Tribolium castaneum: one gene and its partners. The protein of the gene in region 3 binds, or shares a complex with, the protein of the main gene of each other region. Links are inferred from orthologs where the notes say so. Each region holds a gene or a part of one and is shown on either strand. Other genes may lie near its edges.

Region 1 (4,640 bases), on a different chromosome or scaffold from region 3:
TAGTTTAAAAAGCTGATGTTTTGTAAAATGAAAAAAATTATTAAAGTGCACTTATCTTCATGGCATCTACTTCCGCTACAATATGTAGCAATAAGGTATTGCAAATAAATAAAAACCAAGTTAATATTATGTCATTATTATACCTACCATTCCACATTTCACTTACAATATGTTAATTGTATCACATATTCAATCCCACTTGGAGATGAGCAATTGAAAAAATACACTTTACGACATCATAAACTCAAATGTCATCAAATTAGTTTGAAAATTTTATAAAGTAGTTAATCTGTTGTAAAATGTTGCACTCAAACGATTATAACTTTTCAACATCTCAAATTGTGTGGGTTCGAGTAAAAATAAAACTGTTAATTTGATTTAGTTATTGAATGTTGGAACGTATTAACAAAAAAAGAATGAATCATACGATAATATGACATCTTACGTCATAAAAATGTGCTGATAATCTTGAATAAGTAAATTCTAAACCTAATAAAGTAAATCCGCAACAAAATAGAATAATGCACTTACCTTTATTTTTCTTTTGTTGTGAATACGACAGCTTTACTTTCTTTGTTGAAAAAAATTAAAAAATGCGTGAGCAAATGCACCTTGCTGCTGCTACACGACAAGAGTCCGTTTTATTTTTTTTTCACTTGTTGGTTAATACTATGCACGAGAATTAACTGCAAATTATTATTTATTGATCATTTTATTTCGGCCTTTCGCTAATACATGATAAAAATACAAAATCTAGCGTTTCGCACTGTTGGTGTATGGATAAAGGGTCTGGAAAGTCACGGAATCAGGGGGCACCTCATCCTCCGACTCCGACTCCCCGTCCGATTCGAACGTATTATCCGGAATATCGTACAACCGGATCATCGGCTTATTCGGATCTTTCATAATCAAATACTTCCCATCCTTCTGTTTCATAACAATGTCAATAATACACCGCAGAATCCCCCACGCATTATCCATATTCAGATTAATCTGAGTGGCAAACTCGTGCGGCTTATACTGCTGTGTACCCAGAATAACATGCTTGCTGTTATCCCTGACATGGGCCCGGGAAACATAACCGAATTTAATTTGGTCGCTGCCAGCCAGCAACGCCTGAACGGTCCATTTGGCCAGCTTGCAGGCGTTATTACGCAGCTCATTGGCCAAAACGGCGCCTCTCTGGGTGTCCAGTTTCTGGCGCCACTCCACCCCATTGGCCAATTTGGAATCCCATTCGTTCAAGGCCTTGATTGACAGGAATTGGAGCTCGCCATTCGGGGACTGGACCACGGCATCGTGTTCGCAACGGACAACCAAAAACTACACAAATTAAACGTGGACAGAAACAAAACGAAAAAATTACTATTCCGCTCCCTAGGTCATATTTGCGGTATCTGTAGGCCACACTGGCGACCTCCCCTTCCTCCTCCTCGGAGATAAAAGGGTTTGGGTTGTCGAACTTGAAGCGGGGCTCCCCGGTACCTGTTCTTAATACCTGTTGACTGAAATTGTGGTTAATGAAAGTGGCTTCCAAGGCCAGGTTTCGAGGGGAGTTTAAGGAGTTGCCGTCGTCTTGTGGGGGCTCCACGGACGTTTCGTTGACGGTTAAAAGATCAAACTCCGTATTGTCACGCTTATCAAAGAAGAGTTTATCGCCTGAAAAATTTTGTTTGAGATTTGTTACACTTGTAAGGGCACAGTACCAATTTTTTCAATCACGATGTCCCAGGAATAATTCGAGCGAGTGCAGCACATGATGGTCGCAAGGATCGCATCAGTGGCGTACACATTGCCCTCCGTTTTACTCAACTTACGGATAATCGGATCATCAGTTGTTGTAACCTGAGGATAATTAATTTTAATTTTTTGCCATCAATGATATTAAAAATAACCCACTGTATGGAAGATACGATTGACGCTTTGCAGCGGCTTCTCATTCTTCACGTTGACACGATCGTACGACTTGTCATAGTACTCCAACTCGCCACAACAAGTAATATCCTCGCCTAAAAACCAAAATAGAAAAATTCGCATTGCTTAATTAAACCAACCGTCTTTGACGTTAGGGAGCGACAATTTTCCCAACCGAGGGAAATCCATTTCCTCAATGGTGACCCAATCCGGTTTGACCGTAACCGAAGCGTCCCTGATCTTAATCTGGGGCTAAAACCGCCAACTATATTGCGGTAAAACTCAAGCGAGATCTTACCCGTCCTTGTCCCCATTTCTTAACCTGGCTCCTCTTATACGTGTCCCTGGCTTTAACCCCCTTCCCGAGGGACTGCATGCCGCTGCCTTGCACCCCAGCACGGCCGCCACGCCCGCGCAAGTTGCGCTGGTTCGCGCGGAAGCGCCCCCGTTGATAGGGGGGCTTCTGGACGCGTGTTGTGTCCACCAAATGAAAAGTGCTCTCGTCTTCGTCATGATAATACGCGTATTGACTGCCAGAACCGAACTGGGACGCATACTTGTCTAAAATTGCGAAAAATAAGTCACTTAACCTCAAATTTGACATGTGTCAATGTCAGACTAACTGGCATATTTCTTGTCTTGGAAGGCGGCCCCCGTCCAGTCGCTGATTTTGCCGAGACGGTCGCCTTTGCTGAAGGGCTGGTACGGCATATCTTTGAACTGGTCGGGCAGCTCGCAGGGCCCCCATCCAGTCGGGTTGTCCTGGATTACGGGGGCCACGAATTTGGGGACCTCACCCGCTGATTGACCATCAGTCATAGTCATTTGACTTGCTTTCAGAAGTTAGGAAGTGTTCAATTCAATATGTTGAAGCAGAAACCGCGAGTTGTGCACAACACTTGGCAAAAAGAAATGTGCGCGCGCAGATTCTGACAATCGACAGTTTTTGAAATTCGGCGCTTTTGAAATCAAAATAACATGGCCAACTTACATCAAATGTCGCTGCGCTTGAGAAAACATTTTCATCCACTTTTTTTTCAATTTAATTCTCTAATTTTTGTTTACGTGTTGTTTCACTTACCTTTTCTACACTTTTTTTCAGAAAAAAATTGTCACCCTGATCCGCAGCGACATTTGATGTAAGTTGGCGATGCTAAATAATAATGGAATCCTGTTAAAAATCCTTCACTCTTGGGTTTCCAATTAATTTTAAATTAAATTTTTTCCATTACAACCTAATTGATTTATTGCATTGTTAATAACTAATATTTAACTTGGAAAAACAGCAAGAAAATAAGCTCTAATGGCAATAAGGCATTATTTTTTTCTATTTTGGTGTCTCACTAACTTTATTTTGCATAAAAACTCATTGCCATCACAAAGAACGCAACAGCGCAAAAATTTGTATTGAATTCAAATTCTTCTACACGTAACTTCACTTTTTCGTAGTATATTTTACGTCCCCTATTATTGCGTATTGACGATGACATCAGATTTCTCTCAGCAAAGAGAACACTGATAAGGAGTGGGTTTAATAAGCTCGCATTTGCATAACACACATTTATTTATAATAAATTTAAATACGAATTTGTAAATATTATGCCTGGCACACATCTGTACAAAAAGTGCCCATAAAATACAAGCAATACCGTTATCATGTCCACGACAATGAATAAATAACACATTTTGACTCCATATTTACAACATGCTGTCTGTGACTTCGCCCGGATTCTCCAGCGCGGCTTTGCGTTCGCTGACAGCGGTCACAAGTTTCCTGTACGGCCCTAGGGGCAAGTTCAGGCTTTGGAGATCGTTTTCTGTCAGTATCATCAGCGTTTCCAGGTCGATTTTCTGCTCCTCGAAGCGGGGAAGGTACTCTCCTAGCCCCCAGGCGGTCAAGAAGCGTTCCAGGGGAGCGTTCGGGTTATCGTCGTCGCTGGACTCGGGGTCTGATAACTCGTCTTCGATTGATAGAGTGTTGGTTCTGGGGCCGTAGCTTTCCCCTGACCCGATTGAACTCTCCTCGTTGGGGCCTTCGCTGGAGTAGAAGCCTTGGAATGTGTTGGTTATGCTCTTTCTAAATAAAAAACGTGTTTTTGTGCTTTCGCATATTGATTATTTGTTACCGGAACGCTATGCTTCCAATTCCTGGGCGCACGAAAATACTCGCTGGTTCTTGTTGGAGTTTAGTGTCGCCGTTTGTTTCCAATTCGTGCATGAAGTCAGGCTGGGAGATGGACCTTGTGAGGCCGTTGCTGGACGGTGGTGGCGGCGGAGACGACTCTATGTACTCAGCTTCGTTGAAGACCGATTCCAGACGGCCTCTCCTGCCATCGATGGTCCCCGTGTAAAGTACCTCAGAGTCTCGCCGATACCCCGTTAGTGATCTGACTGAGCGTTTGCCGTCTTCAATTTCACTAATCTGGAACGAGTTTTTCAAATAAATGCTTATTTACTCTCGGGAGCACCTTGAAGTCGTCGTCGAAGCCAGGCCGCGTTGTTCGGCTGGCGAGCACCCGCTTCTGCACCGACCCCAAATTCCGCATCCCGGAAACGGTCCCGTTGCCCACGATGGTGCTGAACCTCGGAGGGGCCGGCCCCAGATTCGACAAGTTCGACATGGACCCACTTTTAATTCTGGTTTTGAGCGTCTCTATCATCGACGGCCTGTGGTGACCTTTGTTCATACGTTTCTCCAGCTTCTCTTGAACTTGCTCTTTTTTGAC
Region 2 (4,757 bases), on a different chromosome or scaffold from region 3:
TGTATTTAATAAAATGTTCAAAAAATAATTTAATTTTTGTAATAAAATTTAAGGGCCAATTTCATAATCGGATTTAAAGGAGCATTCAACTAAAAGTTGTTTATAATGTGCTGGTTACTATGGATTTGTGGACATTTCACATTCTAAACATTTAATTTAATGCTCCTTTAAATTCGATTATAAAACTGGCCCTTAATTAATTAAAAAATAAAATAAATATTAATAAATAATACAATGTGTTTTTAAATAATTCTCATCTAGTCGTCTGTGAATTTCTACAGTAAAATCAGAAAATACCGCTTCATATAAATAATGATAGGCATTTAGACATCGAATATTACCATTCTCCATTTATTAAGGCTCCAAATATAAAGTAAGCTTAAAAAATAAAAGTGTTTTCTTGCACGGTATAATAATTTAGTTACATTTTAACGAAGTTTTTAAAACAAATTAAATGAATTTGCCAACTGACAGACTTTACATTTATTAACAGAGGATTCAATTGAGCAAAGCGGCACAATTTTTTACATGTAAACCAATTTCAAAGTTAACTGGATGAGAATCATTTAAAAACACATTGTATAAAATATTAAAATTTAATAAATCGAAATTTTGAGGTTAGCAACAATTTTATTAAGAATTTTTTGCTTAAAATATCATTCATTTAAAAGACACTATTGAAATTATAAAATTAATAATTAATTAATTACACGGAATAATATTTTCAATTTTATTAACATAATTTTTAGTAATTCATGTTTATTTAAGGAAATGTAAAAAAAAATAAAAAAAAATCTTTGAGAAAAAAATTAAGTATTTAATAGAAAACACTGATTTTTGTGTGACTAATTAATATGCCAACATTCTTTAATTGCTTTTAAGTTTTCATTAATTTTTGTTGCATTATAAGTGATAACAAATTCTGTAACTGACTGAACAATTTGCCCCGGAAATCACCGGAAGATCAAACCAGCTAACCCTTCTCGCATTAGCACAAATTTACGGAAAAAGCAGGATTATACCTTACTTGCCAACTGCGAAATTAAATTAAACAAAGAAGTTTACAGAATATTTCAATTACAATAAAATTTTTATTAGTGATTAACTTGACATTTGCCAATGCATTTTAAATGACAACTTAAACTCGAATTAGTCTAATTCGGAATTAAATTTTAATTTCGCTGTCTGTAGACCGACCCACAGTTTTTTTTTATTTTATTAATTAAATGGTAACAACTTCTAATACTAGTAGAATTAAATAATTTTTTTGAATATTAAATATTTTCGTAACATCAATAAAACTTCCTTGGCAGTTTATTGTTTTTTTATTTTTTTTAACAATTACTAATTCATTAATTGCATAAAATCGCAATCAAATTACATGATATTAAAACGCTGCAAAAGTTATTATTTCTTATGTTATTTTAGAACACCTGAAATACTTAAATGTTTTGTGCAAAAAGTTCGTAAAAATTTTTCTTAAGAATTTTTTGCTTATAGCATTATACGCCGTTGATCCAGAAAGACACTGCAGAATTAATTAAATTTCGATTAATCAAGTTTTTATATTTTGTATTTTATAAATACCTATTATTATTATTTGCTTAACTAATATCATATCAGAAAAATTAAAACATTATATTAAATATTTTCGTTAACATCAATAACACTTCCACGTCAGTTTATTGAGTGGCTAGCAAACAGCTCTGATTTAAATATCATTGAGTCTTTTTGGCACAAAGTAAAAAGGTATCCTACAAATCTTCCTCAATAGTTGTTGAAAGATTTAAAAAATAAAATAGAACATATTTGGAACAATAAAACGCCAGAATTTTGTAAGGGATTCGTTAAAAGTATGCCAGCGCTAAGTTGAGTCGTCATTGAAGCCAATAAAGATTGAAATTACAAAAAAATCTATCTTTTTTTTGTTCAAACAATTAATTGTCAAATATCATTCCTATTTTTCTTTGTTTTAATTTCATGTTAAATATAGTGTTTTAAAGTAGTGTTTAAGTAGGTCATAAGTTACAAATAAAGGTATTTCTTCAATTTATCCTTCTTTTTTTAAAATAAACATTCATTAGCTTGACGTGCATTTTCTTTGCAAAAATGTATTCGTCCAAACACACTATTCAGAAATGATTGTTCATTGCAAGTCACTTATGAAATTTGAACGTAATGTGCCACTTAATTTAAATTGTGAATGCCGTCAAAAGCGACAAAACCGTCAAATTAATGCAAAAAAACTTCAAATCTAAAAACGAAAGAGTACACAACAAATTTCACCGAGATGTAAAACACAAATGACGGCAAACCCCACACTTGAGAAATGCAAAAAAGTGAGTAAAAAGCTAAGATTTGACAGAGATGAGAGTATTCAAACACTACAATAATGATTTGAACGAAGCGGAACATTGTTTTTGACTTCCATAGTCGACTGGGTGAACAACCATTTTTGAACACATTGTATTTACTTTGTAATCCTTTGAAAGGAAATTAATCAAAGTTTTCGAATCCCTCATGTTTTCCATATTCTTCATGACCTCATCGTCGGCCATAATCTTCAAAATTGGTTGCACTTCCTGTTGAAGCTCCTGTAACTGAGCTACAACGTGTTGACGCCTTTGCTTCAGATCTTCAGGAACTTCTTCATTTGGATACAGCTGCTTTCGGATGTCAATAGCATAATCGATCATGTTGGTCTTGCTCAAAATATCTAATTTGGCTTTAAGCAATTCCGTTTCATCGTAAATCTACGAAATTCGGAATCAACCGAATGAACATAACCTCAAAAACTGTACCTCTTTAGCCGACAAAAATTCCAACAATGGAAACACCAAGTGCCGATCCAAATATTGCCCCATGCGGGAAGTTAAATCAAATTGGGCCATTTTATACCGTTTTTATGCAAAAACTAACAAGATTTTATAAAATGTGACACATATGGCGGCACCCTAGAATAACACTTTTATAGAAGCGGAACATAATGGTTGGCAATGAATTCCTAGCTGGAGCCATCTAGCCGCATCATCACGTACTAAAAATGGCGCGAATTAAATAATCCCGATTACTTTGTATTTTTTAAATTTTTGCTCACGTCAAAATGATGTCAAAACCTTATCAAATACAATTATTATGAAAATTTTCTAATTGTATTTGAAAAGGTGGATGCACAAACAGCACAAATAGAAGAATTTTACCCAACATGACACGATCTAAACACATTTAATATTAAAGATATTTATTAAATCCATTAAGTTTACAAAACTAATAGTCGTCACCGCATCGATGATAAAGACATACTTGCAATCAGCCAAACTGGCACCTTATGTTAGCAACTTCTGTCTATGGGAATCTCCTCACAGTGTGACTCACTTGCGGTTCGCTCTCAAAAAACTCACTTTTGGAAAAAACGCACCTATCAATGAAAACCTTCTGGAGCTCATTACTACGTTATATTCTTGGAGATCATGTTGTTCCTAACCGATAGTAGGCAATAGTCTAACCCAAACACGACACCTTGAACCACTATCTTAATAAAACTTTGAAAAATTAACGTGATATAAAAAATAAACTCAAATTTTGCTGACGTTTGTGAAATTTTTACTTGTCAGCCGCGCATCGGTACCACGTTTTTCTTCAGTAATATGAAATTTTAAATCCGCCAATAGGATTTCTTTTTCCCGTAAAACACTAAGGCCATCTATCCGCATCATCAGTAAATCCTATTTCAGTGAGCACAGCTTCCTTGATTAATGAAGGAACTTTCCCTTCACACGGCTGGCCGCATTGCTTAGTTCCATGGCATATTTTTGTTTCTGAGAGGGAGCCACTATAAAGTAAAACAATTCTGACAGTTCTAAGGTTAAGTGTTGTCACACTGCTGTCAGTGCAGAAGATTTCTAAGGCAAAACGCATTAGTATTAGCTGTATAGTTGTAGAAAACGTATTCTACAAACATTTGGCACGTGTTTTTACTGTGAGGAACCAAAAGCGCATGTTGCCATGTGAGTGACCAAGAGCCTATGCCAAGAGCGAACTGCGAAACACAAAACGAACGTAAAAAGCGTCATACAAACTTGAACATTTTGCCGAATGGTAAACAAACATTTTTATGCTCACGAAAATGATCAAAAGAGTGTTGGAACGCATTTGCAACCAACTGTACAAAATGTACCCATTAGTGTCGAAATGCTTTGCATTTCAAATTTTGATTAAAACTTGTGGAAAAAAAATGAAACTAAGCTTTGTCTTGCCTTCCTGTTGGCAAAATTTTGTATAAATCTTGTGCAAAAGAGGTTGAAAACTTAAATTTGTAAAAAATATGACGGCTGTCACCTTTGACACCAAGTGAATTTTTCAGCAGCAACTAATAGATGGCGCTACAATAAAGTAAGCTGTCAAAAAACACTTTTTTTGTTCAATGCGACCAGCCGTGTAAAGGGTACTTCCCTTCACTAATCAAGGAAGCTGTGTCAGTGAGGGTTCGATTTGGCTATATCAGTTCAGGATGCCTGGGCGGCACCAGGGCCTAGGGAATTTCACTTTCATGCTGGACAATTTGCCAAGTTTTTGGCGCGATTTTTGAAACGTAATCGTCACAAAATCAAACAAGTTTGTGGAAAAATATCAAATATTTTATTCGAACATTTACAATAATTGTTTTAGGTACAAAACCAAAAGTTATTTTCATTGCCCGATGTATTTGTCAATACTCTCATACTTCCATTCTGTTTCTTTAAGGTAGTCTAGTTCTT
Region 3 (4,796 bases):
AATCAAGACAGTGGGATTTTTAACTTTATGTTTTATTTGAATTTTTCAAGAATGGTTATTTTTGGCAGACTCTCACAAGAAAACCGAAAATAATATCTTTCCAAATTTTTAATATGTTATAGAAGAAGGTCTTCTGAAGCTGTTTTATAATAAAAAAGTTCATTGCTCGATGTTATCCAATCAAGACAGCGGAATTTTTAATTTGGTGTTTTATTTGAATTTTTCAAGAATGGTTATTTTTGGCAGACTCTCACAAGAAAACCAAAAATAATATCTTTCCAAATATTTAATATGTTATAGAGGAAGGTCTTCTGAAGCTGTTTTATAAAAAAGAAGTTCATTGTTCTGTGTTATCCAATCAAGACAGCGGAATTTTTAACTTGGTGTTTTATTTGAATTTTTCAAGAATGGTTATTTTTGACAGACTCTAACAAGAAAACCAAAAATAATATCTTTTCAAATTTTTAATATGTTAGAGAAGAAGGTCTTCTGAAGCTGTTTTACAAAAAAGAAGTTCATTGCTCGATGTTATCCAATCAAGACAGCGGAATTTTTAACTTTGAGTTTTATTTGAATTTTTCAAGAATGGTTATTTTTGACAGACTCTCACAAGAAAACCAAAAATAATATCTTTCCAAATATTTAATATGTTATAGAGGAAGATCTTCTGAAGCTGTTTTATAAAAAAGAAGTTCATTGCTCGATGTTATCCAATCAAGACAGCGGAATTTTTAACTTGGTGTTTTATTTGAATTTTTCAAGAATGGTTATTTTTGACAGACTCTAACAAGAAAACCAAAAATAATATCTTTCCAAATTTTTTATATGTTATAGAAGAAGGTCTTCTGAAGCTGTTTTATAAAAAAGAAGTTCACTGCTCTATGTTATCCAATCAACACAGCGGAATTTTTAACTTTGTGTTTTATTAGAATTTTTCAAGAATGGTTATTTTTGGCAGACTCTAACAAGAAAACCAAAAATAATATCTTTCCAGATTTTTAATATGTTATAGAAAAAGGTCTTCTGAAGTTGTTTAATAAAAAAGATGTTCATTGCTCTATGTTATCCAATCAAGACAGCGGAATTTTTAACTTGGTGTTTTATTTGAATTTTTCAAGAATGGTTATTTTTGGAAGACTCTCACAAGAAAACCAAAAATAATATCTTTCCATATTTTTAATATGTTATAGAAGAAGGTCTTCTGAAGTTGTTTTATAAAAAAGAAGTTCATTGCTTTATGTTATCCAATCAAGACAGCGGGATTTTTAACTTTGTGTTTTATTTGAATTTTTCAAGAATGGTTATTTTTGGAAGACTCTCACAAGAAAACTAAAAATAATATCTTTCCAAATTTTTAATATGTTATAAAAGAAGGTTTTCTGAAACTGTTTTATAAAAAAGTTTTATAAAAAAGAAGTTCATTGTTCATAATATCTTTCCAGATTTTTAATATGTTATAGAAAAAGGTCTTCTGAAGTTGTTTTATAAAAAAGAAGTTCATTGCTTTATGTTATCCAATCAAGACAGCGGGATTTTTAACTTTGTGTTTTATTTGATTTTTTCAAGAATGTTTATTTTCGACAGACTCTAACAAGAAAACCAAAAATAATATCTTTCCAGATTTTTAATATGTTATAGAGGAAGGTCTTCTGAAGCTGTTTTATAAAAAAGAAGTTCATTGCTCTGTGTTATCCAATCAAGACAGCGGAATTTTTTACTTTGTTTTATTGATTTTTTCAAGAATGTTTATTTTTGACAGACTCTAACAAGAAAATCATAAATAATATCTTTCCAAATTTTTAATATGTCATAGAAGAAGGTCTTATTAAGCTTTTTTATAAAAAAAAAGTTCATTGTACTGTGTTATCTAATCAAGACAGCCGAATAACAAAAGAAAAGAGGTCATTCCTCATTTTTTTTAATAGAAAAACATTTAAAGTACTGATACTTACGCTCGGAATTGCGATTCCCCCCTTCACAAACTCCCACTCCCCTTCCCCATCCTCCTCATCCTCCTTCTTCACCTTCCGCCTCTCCTTCTCCTTACGTTCCTTCCTCCTTTCCTCCTTCCTCCGATCGCGTTCTTCATCATCTTCATGCGCCGGCCCAGTTTTCTTCAAAAACCGCTCCCTCATAGTCCCTTTCCCTTCATCTTCATCAAAACTATCCGAACTCGAGTCACTATCACTAGGCCAATCGTCCGAATCAGACGACCCTTCATCATCAACAATCTGTTTGGAAATTTTAGCCACAGCTTTGGCCGGCGCTTCAGTTTGAGTGTCTGGCTCAGGCTCGTGTTTCTCTTCCTCTTCTTCATCGTCCGGCTGGTCGGGGTTTTCCCTAAACTTGGCAATATCCTCCTCGAAATCTTTGATGTACTTGCGCAACTTCTGGCGCATTGAAGCCAAAGACTTGCTGTTGTTTTTGCTCATGTTTTTGCGTCCGTCGCGATCTTCCCACATTTCGTTGATGAAATCTTCCATTTCGACCAAACAACGGGTGAAGAAACGGGGCGTTTGCCCCGATTCTTCTTTCGCGATCACTGGGAGCGCTTTAACGTAGGCCTTCTGAAGGTCTTCAAAACTGGTCAACATGCTGCTCATGTCTTTGATTTTTTTGTAATTGCGGATTTGTTTGATAATGTTAGTGAGTTCCTCGTAACGCTTCTCTTTGGCGGAGCGAACCACACGTTTGACCTCCTCTTCATCGTCGCTAAACTAGAAGGGGGCCATTAAAAAAATGTTAAGCTACATGGGGGCTCACTTACGGTGAAAACGGGCGCTGGCGCGCGCTGAATTGGCTCTTCCTCGGAGGAGCTGTCGGAGTCTGAGTCCGAACCGGCGAAAAAACGACTCATTTTTTTACCTACAAAGTGACATAACCTCAAAAAAATTACGTGAAATAACGCAATAACTAGGCGTTAAATTGGCGTTAGGTAACGGTTTTTCGCTTCTTTGGGCCAAATGAAGACCGAAAACTTAATTTAAGACTACTTTAAAGCTAGTTACTGGGGCCCATGTGGTTCATGTTTGGAGACGGAACTCCCCAAAATTATAGTTAGAAATGTCGGAACCACAATTTTAAGGTAAAATACACGTGAAAGAGGCAAAACTTACGTGTTTAAAGCCTTTTTTTCACTTAACAGATTTTCCGACACGATTGTAACCACAAAATGGCCAAAAACTTGTGCCAACTGTCAAAATCGGGACTTTTTTGTCTTGTGATTGGTAGTGTTATGGTAATATCGTAAAAAAAGGGCAAATTAATTTGTTTTTGGGCACGAAAGGGCCCTTAAGTCGAGAGCCAGGGTTAGGTGGTGGTATTTAGGTTCAAGTTGTGTCAAAAGTAAGGATTCTACGGTTAAGATACCAAAGACGTACAAATGAAACGCTCGCGTTTTCGGTAGTTCCTTTATTGTCACCAGAGAGCGCACTTGTTCCATTAGCAGATAGCAAAGAAAAAATACAGGCACATAGAGCATTAAACTCTCGATAGTAAGACAAAAAAGTAAGGAACAAAGTTGTAGAAAATCAAATTTCCAATATATATTTTTTATTTAAATTAACTTATTTATCTCCTAAATACACAACAAAATTATTTCTTCTTGATAATGCTTTGGATTTTTTGCCACTCCCTGTCCAAATGCGCCTTTTCGTTCTTATCCTTATGCTTCCTGGACCTGCGCCCATCTGCCATTTTAAGGCCGTACTGGAAGGCTGCTTTCGGCAAAGCCTCCTTCTGGTTCATATAATCGGAATACTCCTCAGCTGTGTCAAAGTCCCAGCGTCCAATCGGCCCCTTTTTATTCCCCAAGTCCATCTTAGAATAATCAACCTCATCATCAGAATCATCAATCGCATCGTTCATTTCCTCCAATCCGGGATAACACTCAGCATATCCCTCAGGCTCTTGAGCCAGTTTATTAAGGATTTGTGCCGATTTACTGACTTTGAAAGTCGGTCCGCTATTTTCAAGCGCTTCCTCTTGTTTATCAAAGTACGTGTGTTTGTTATGGTCACGTGACGAGTTTCCATGTTTACCACTTCTTGTGGGTACGTAATCACCAATATCTCCATAGATGGAGTCATCACCGGTTGTACGTTTTGTTGTTTTTTTCGGTTCGGGTTCTTCCGGTTGTTCGTTTTCGCGACTTTCGGGGAGTCCCCGTTTGGTTTTTTTGTTCTTTCGGTTGCCTTGGCGCAAGTAACTTAAAATTTGGGTTAATTTATTTATGACAATGTCGTTGGTTGTGAGGGTTGTGGTGAGTTCAAATGACGGAACGTCGGCGATTGAACGGATTAAAGTTGTTGGAATGTCTGATTCAGCCTCATCGTCTGAAATAAAATTTTAATAGTCATGTTGGTATTAAATTAATAGGAATTTTAACATTAAAATTCATGTAAAAATTTTTAAAAAAGAATCACAAAAACCTTTAAAAAATCCAAAAAGAAGTACAGAAACAATGCTAGAAAATAAATAAGAGCAATTCTAAAAGAAACTAGAGAAGAATTTTTATAAGCGAGAGAGGAGAATATAAAAAAAATTGCGGATTTAAGATCTAAAGAAGTCTTTAGGAGATAATCATAAAAATCTTTAAAAAAATCTAAAAGACAGTAAAAAAACAATGCTAAAAAATGAACAAGAAGAATTCTAAAAGAAACTAGACAAGAATTTTTATAAGCGAGAGAAGAGAATCTAAAGGAAAATTTTGCTGATTTAAAATCTAAAGACCTCTTTAGGAAAGAATCACAAAAATCTTTTAAAAAAATCTAAAGGTAAGTACAAAAACAATGCTA
Region 4 (3,882 bases), on a different chromosome or scaffold from region 3:
AGTGTTAATGAATTGTCAGTTTAGTTTTTTTTTTTGCATAAAACCTATTTTTAACTTTGAATTTATTTGTTTCTCTAGATGATAATATGAACTCACACAATTGTCGGTATTATTTATTTATTTTTTAAACATTTTTTCAATGTGACGAGTTTTTCTCGTATTCTAAAATAAACCAGCAGGATGTACACTTTGAAACTAGATCCCTCAATTAGATCCTCCTCCTCAGAAATTAGTTATTATTTTATTTTAAACATTGTTTGTAACCTTGGTTTAAGGGTTGGAAAAAAAATAAACAAAGTTCTATAAAAATGTACTATTACATAGGCAATTCATATACAATATGCTCAAAATTCCTCATGAAAATTTTGTTCACTGTTTTTTAACAAAAAAATAAATTGGTCAAAACTAGAGGTTTTTTCTGTGTAGTTTTAAACGAAACAAACTTTTTTGCTAAGGTTTTCATCAAGTCACAATGTTTTTTACGAAATTTAGGGTTGTTTTCCGGTAAAAATAGAACTGTTGAATTTTTTAACAGTCTTCAAATGGGAATCCAAATATTGGAAATGGATATTTATTAATTTTTTTTAATCTGATTTTAATTTAACACTTATGTATACCCTGGTTACGTCTGTTATATTTGACGGAAATGCTGTACTTTAGACCCTCTATGTAGAGGGTGTTAGGGAATGGCTTAGCAATATTGTGTAAGTGAATTTGTCATGATCAGACGAGTTAAAAACCCTTATATAATTTTTCCAAAAGGTGCGTACTTTCTTTAAAAAAAAAATATTAACCCACCTGTTGAGAGCCACTGGGCTTATGGTAGTTTATTAGCGGTTATTATTATATTTTTTTTTTTCATTAAATAAGGCAACATTTTCATTTGTGCGGAAGGTTCGAATCCCGGTCTTGGCAAAAAAAATATTTTTTCGTAAACTTTAGTAACAAAACACAAATTGAAATAGAAGAATAACGTAGTGAACCAACAAGTTATTTTAGCTCAGCTGTTTTGCCAATATTATTAGAATTTACGCTAAATTTTATAATTCTAGTTCAGCGGTTCTCAAATTTTGAGAACAAAAGTTCAGAACAAATTCTTTGAAAAACCATGCATTTTTGATTTACATAAATTTACATAAATCTTTAAATTTTTGCTAAGCCATTACCTAACACTCTGTATTTAAATAATAATAAATCATTGGCATAACTAACCTGATCTTTGATTAAATTTACCGTTTCTTTCAATTTTTTCAAACAAAAAGTTACAAATTTTATTTACTAAATACTTAATGGTACAGTAGCAGATACGGAATTTTGAGCACTTCTGTCACTTCGTAGTCGAAAGGTATGGAGTATTCCATACGTTTAAGTCAACGAAATGTCATAGGCGTCCAAAATTTCGCGTCCGCCACTGCACATATTATTTGTATTATGTTCGAAGGTTGGCAGAACTGCACTGAAGTTAAATGTGGTATTACGTTAAAGCTTTGGATAAAACAAAAAAAAGTATGTCAATTTTTCACTTTCAAAATTGAGACATTACCAGTTGGCTTAAAAATCCCTAAATCGATTAAAATAACAAAAAGTGCAAAATGGGGACAAATTACACAAAACAGTATAAAAAAACTCGTTTCATAAAACCTTGAAGTACTTATTCTTTAAAACTGAATTCGTGCTTCAAGACTGGTTTTATGAAACTTGTTTTCTAATATACTATTTCCACACAGATATTTTTAAGCTTATTTTTTACAAATGTGAACCGTGTACACTTTAAAACCTGACTTTTTAGTAAAAAAAATTAAATGTCTAAACTCATGAGTTTATATAATTTTTTGAAAACACTTCTTAACTAATTGTTGCAGAACTGGCCAAGAAAAGCGTTCTTTCAACCCTGAAGGCCCCTCCTCATGGCCGATTTTCCGCTGGTCTCACGACGACAAATACTTCGGACGCGTGGGCAACGACGTCCTCTCCATCTACGAAACCCCCTCGTTCGGTCTCCTTGAGAAAAAATCAATCAAAATCAGCGGCATCCGCGACTTCAGCTGGTCGCCCACCGACAACATCGTCGCCTATTGGGTGGCAGAAGACAAAGACGTTCCAGCCAGCGTAACCCTCCTTGAAATCCCCAACCGCAACGAAATCCGCAAGAAGAACCTCTTCAACGTCGCCGATTGCAAAATCCACTGGCAAAAATCTGGCGATTATCTATGCGTCAAAGTCGACCGTTACTCGAAAGTTCGCAAAGAGAAAAATGAGACGAAGTACAGCGGAATGTACTGCAACTTCGAGATCTTCCACATGAGGGAAAAACAGATCCCGGTGGATAGCGTCGAGAGTAAGGAACCCATCCAGGCGTTCGCTTGGGAACCGGTCGGATCGAAGTTTGCGGTCATACATGGAGAATCGCCGAATATTAATGTCAGTTTTTACGAAGTGAGAGTGGGACAAGCCCCAATTCTGCTTAAAAAGTTCGAGAAAAGGGCGTGTAATCACCTGTTTTGGTCGCCCGGAGGCCAGTTTATTGTTTTGGCGGGGTTGGGATCGAATGGTGGTGGATCATTGGAGTTTGTTGATACGCACGAGTTTTTGGTTATGAATACGACGGATCATTTCCAAATGTCGGATGTCGAGTGGGATCCGACGGGAAGATACGTCACGACGTCCGTTTCGTACTGGAAAACCAAAGTTGATACAGGTGGGTTTTTGGCTTTTAAGCTTGATTTAGAAATTGATACCGAACCTCTGTAATTTGAAGTATTGTTGAATTGAATGAATTATTCTTGCGGGGGTTTTCCCAGATTATCGTTTTTTTTTTTGGGGGGGGGCATAGTAGAGAGGGGCAGTATATTTTGTTTGTTTTTTTGTTTATTACTACCAACGTTTTGCCAGTTTTTATGAGGGGGGCTTCTTTAGGGCAATAAATAATTAGCAAACCATTCGTGCAGAAACAACGAGGAGGGGAACTATTTTGTTTAACAATAAATAAATAAACCAAAATAAATTGCACTGTGTCTGTTATCCTAATAAATAATTAAATCTTACTCAAATTAAACTCACAACAGACGATGAACCGTGAATCAAAAAAACTAATAACATTTTTAACCAAATTTGGTTTTCAGCTTTTGGGTCAATTAACAAAATCCGTTATTTTCGAGGTGCTTTTCTAAACGAGCTCTCAGAAAATAAAAGAAAATTTTGAAAATTACTGAATAGGTCAATTTTTATTAACAAGGGGAGACTTTTTGGTGCACTTTTAAAGCACTTTCAAATACGAACACCCTAAAAAGATTGAAAAGCATGATCTCAATTGTGATTCCTCAAATGAAGGGTATGTTTACTAGAAAATTTGCTGTCTTGTTTTTGACTTTCAATTTTTTTTATTTTACATGTACTCTGAAAGTTATAATGAATAAACAAACTTGACAAATTTTTTGTCAAGTTACGTAAAGTATCATTAGGTGAATTAGTCACATGTTTAAAATTCAAAACATTTAACAAAAATGTTTATATTAAAATAGTATAAATCATAATTTTAAAATAAAACGACCTTTATATTAAAGGAAACAAGACAAAGTGGAGGCTAATAATTATAAAATTCATAACAAATACTATTCTACTTGAACATGGATACATGACATCTATTGGATAACTAAAGGTTACGGAAAACAAAATAAAAAATAATAAAATCATATAAACTAAAGATTAGTTTGAAAGATCCTAATCATGATATTTATGTCTTAAGGAAAATTGATTAAGCAATTAATAAAGTAAAACCGCGTCTTCTATCGAAGATTATAAAATAATAGAGGTAAAAAATTAAACAGATTTAAAATTTAAACGACTGAAAAAACGAGAGAAAGAAGTCGAGACACAAGCCAA

What was found.
Region 1: eIF3c (region 3) and eIF3d1 share a complex: the UniProt entries of both Drosophila melanogaster proteins name them as parts of the eukaryotic translation initiation factor 3 (eIF-3) complex. The link is inferred for Tribolium castaneum from reciprocal best matches to the Drosophila melanogaster genes eIF3c and eIF3d1.
Region 2: eIF3c (region 3) and eIF3e share a complex: the UniProt entries of both Drosophila melanogaster proteins name them as parts of the eukaryotic translation initiation factor 3 (eIF-3) complex. The link is inferred for Tribolium castaneum from reciprocal best matches to the Drosophila melanogaster genes eIF3c and eIF3e.
Region 4: eIF3c (region 3) and eIF3b share a complex: the UniProt entries of both Drosophila melanogaster proteins name them as parts of the eukaryotic translation initiation factor 3 (eIF-3) complex. The link is inferred for Tribolium castaneum from reciprocal best matches to the Drosophila melanogaster genes eIF3c and eIF3b.

What each region holds. Positions count from the first base shown.
Region 1 is NC_087399.1:4,807,436-4,812,075, reverse strand, and holds eIF3d1 (eukaryotic initiation factor 3 p66 subunit), read right to left. Parts: upstream 2,807-4,640; 5' UTR 2,740-2,806; coding exon 2,538-2,739; intron 2,476-2,537; coding exon 2,213-2,475; intron 2,167-2,212; coding exon 2,055-2,166; intron 2,010-2,054; coding exon 1,900-2,009; intron 1,846-1,899; coding exon 1,707-1,845; intron 1,660-1,706; coding exon 1,367-1,659; intron 1,324-1,366; coding exon 754-1,323; 3' UTR 697-753; downstream 1-696. Other genes in the region: Sans (ankyrin repeat and SAM domain-containing protein 4B), read right to left, coding at 3,613-3,991, 4,041-4,336, 4,383-4,640. UniProt on the Drosophila melanogaster protein: mRNA cap-binding component of the eukaryotic translation initiation factor 3 (eIF-3) complex, which is involved in protein synthesis of a specialized repertoire of mRNAs and, together with other initiation factors, stimulates binding of mRNA and methionyl-tRNAi to the 40S ribosome.
Region 2 is NC_087394.1:22,551,955-22,556,711, reverse strand, and holds the start of eIF3e (eukaryotic translation initiation factor 3 subunit E), read right to left. Parts: upstream 2,980-4,757; 5' UTR 2,892-2,979; coding exon 2,802-2,891; intron 2,754-2,801; coding exon 2,475-2,753; intron 1-2,474. UniProt on the Drosophila melanogaster protein: Component of the eukaryotic translation initiation factor 3 (eIF-3) complex, which is involved in protein synthesis of a specialized repertoire of mRNAs and, together with other initiation factors, stimulates binding of mRNA and methionyl-tRNAi to the 40S ribosome.
Region 3 is NC_087401.1:16,333,841-16,338,636, forward strand, and holds the start of eIF3c (eukaryotic translation initiation factor 3 subunit C), read right to left. Parts: upstream 3,245-4,796; 5' UTR 3,113-3,244; intron 2,866-3,112; exon of another isoform or gene 2,863-2,865; 5' UTR 2,858-2,862; coding exon 2,768-2,857; intron 2,718-2,767; coding exon 1,953-2,717; intron 1-1,952. Other genes in the region: beag (protein Red), read right to left, coding at 3,595-4,334. UniProt on the Drosophila melanogaster protein: Component of the eukaryotic translation initiation factor 3 (eIF-3) complex, which is involved in protein synthesis of a specialized repertoire of mRNAs and, together with other initiation factors, stimulates binding of mRNA and methionyl-tRNAi to the 40S ribosome.
Region 4 is NC_087399.1:10,626,607-10,630,488, forward strand, and holds part of eIF3b (eukaryotic translation initiation factor 3 subunit B), read left to right. Parts: intron 1-1,862; coding exon 1,863-2,698; intron 2,699-3,882. UniProt on the Drosophila melanogaster protein: RNA-binding component of the eukaryotic translation initiation factor 3 (eIF-3) complex, which is involved in protein synthesis of a specialized repertoire of mRNAs and, together with other initiation factors, stimulates binding of mRNA and methionyl-tRNAi to the 40S ribosome.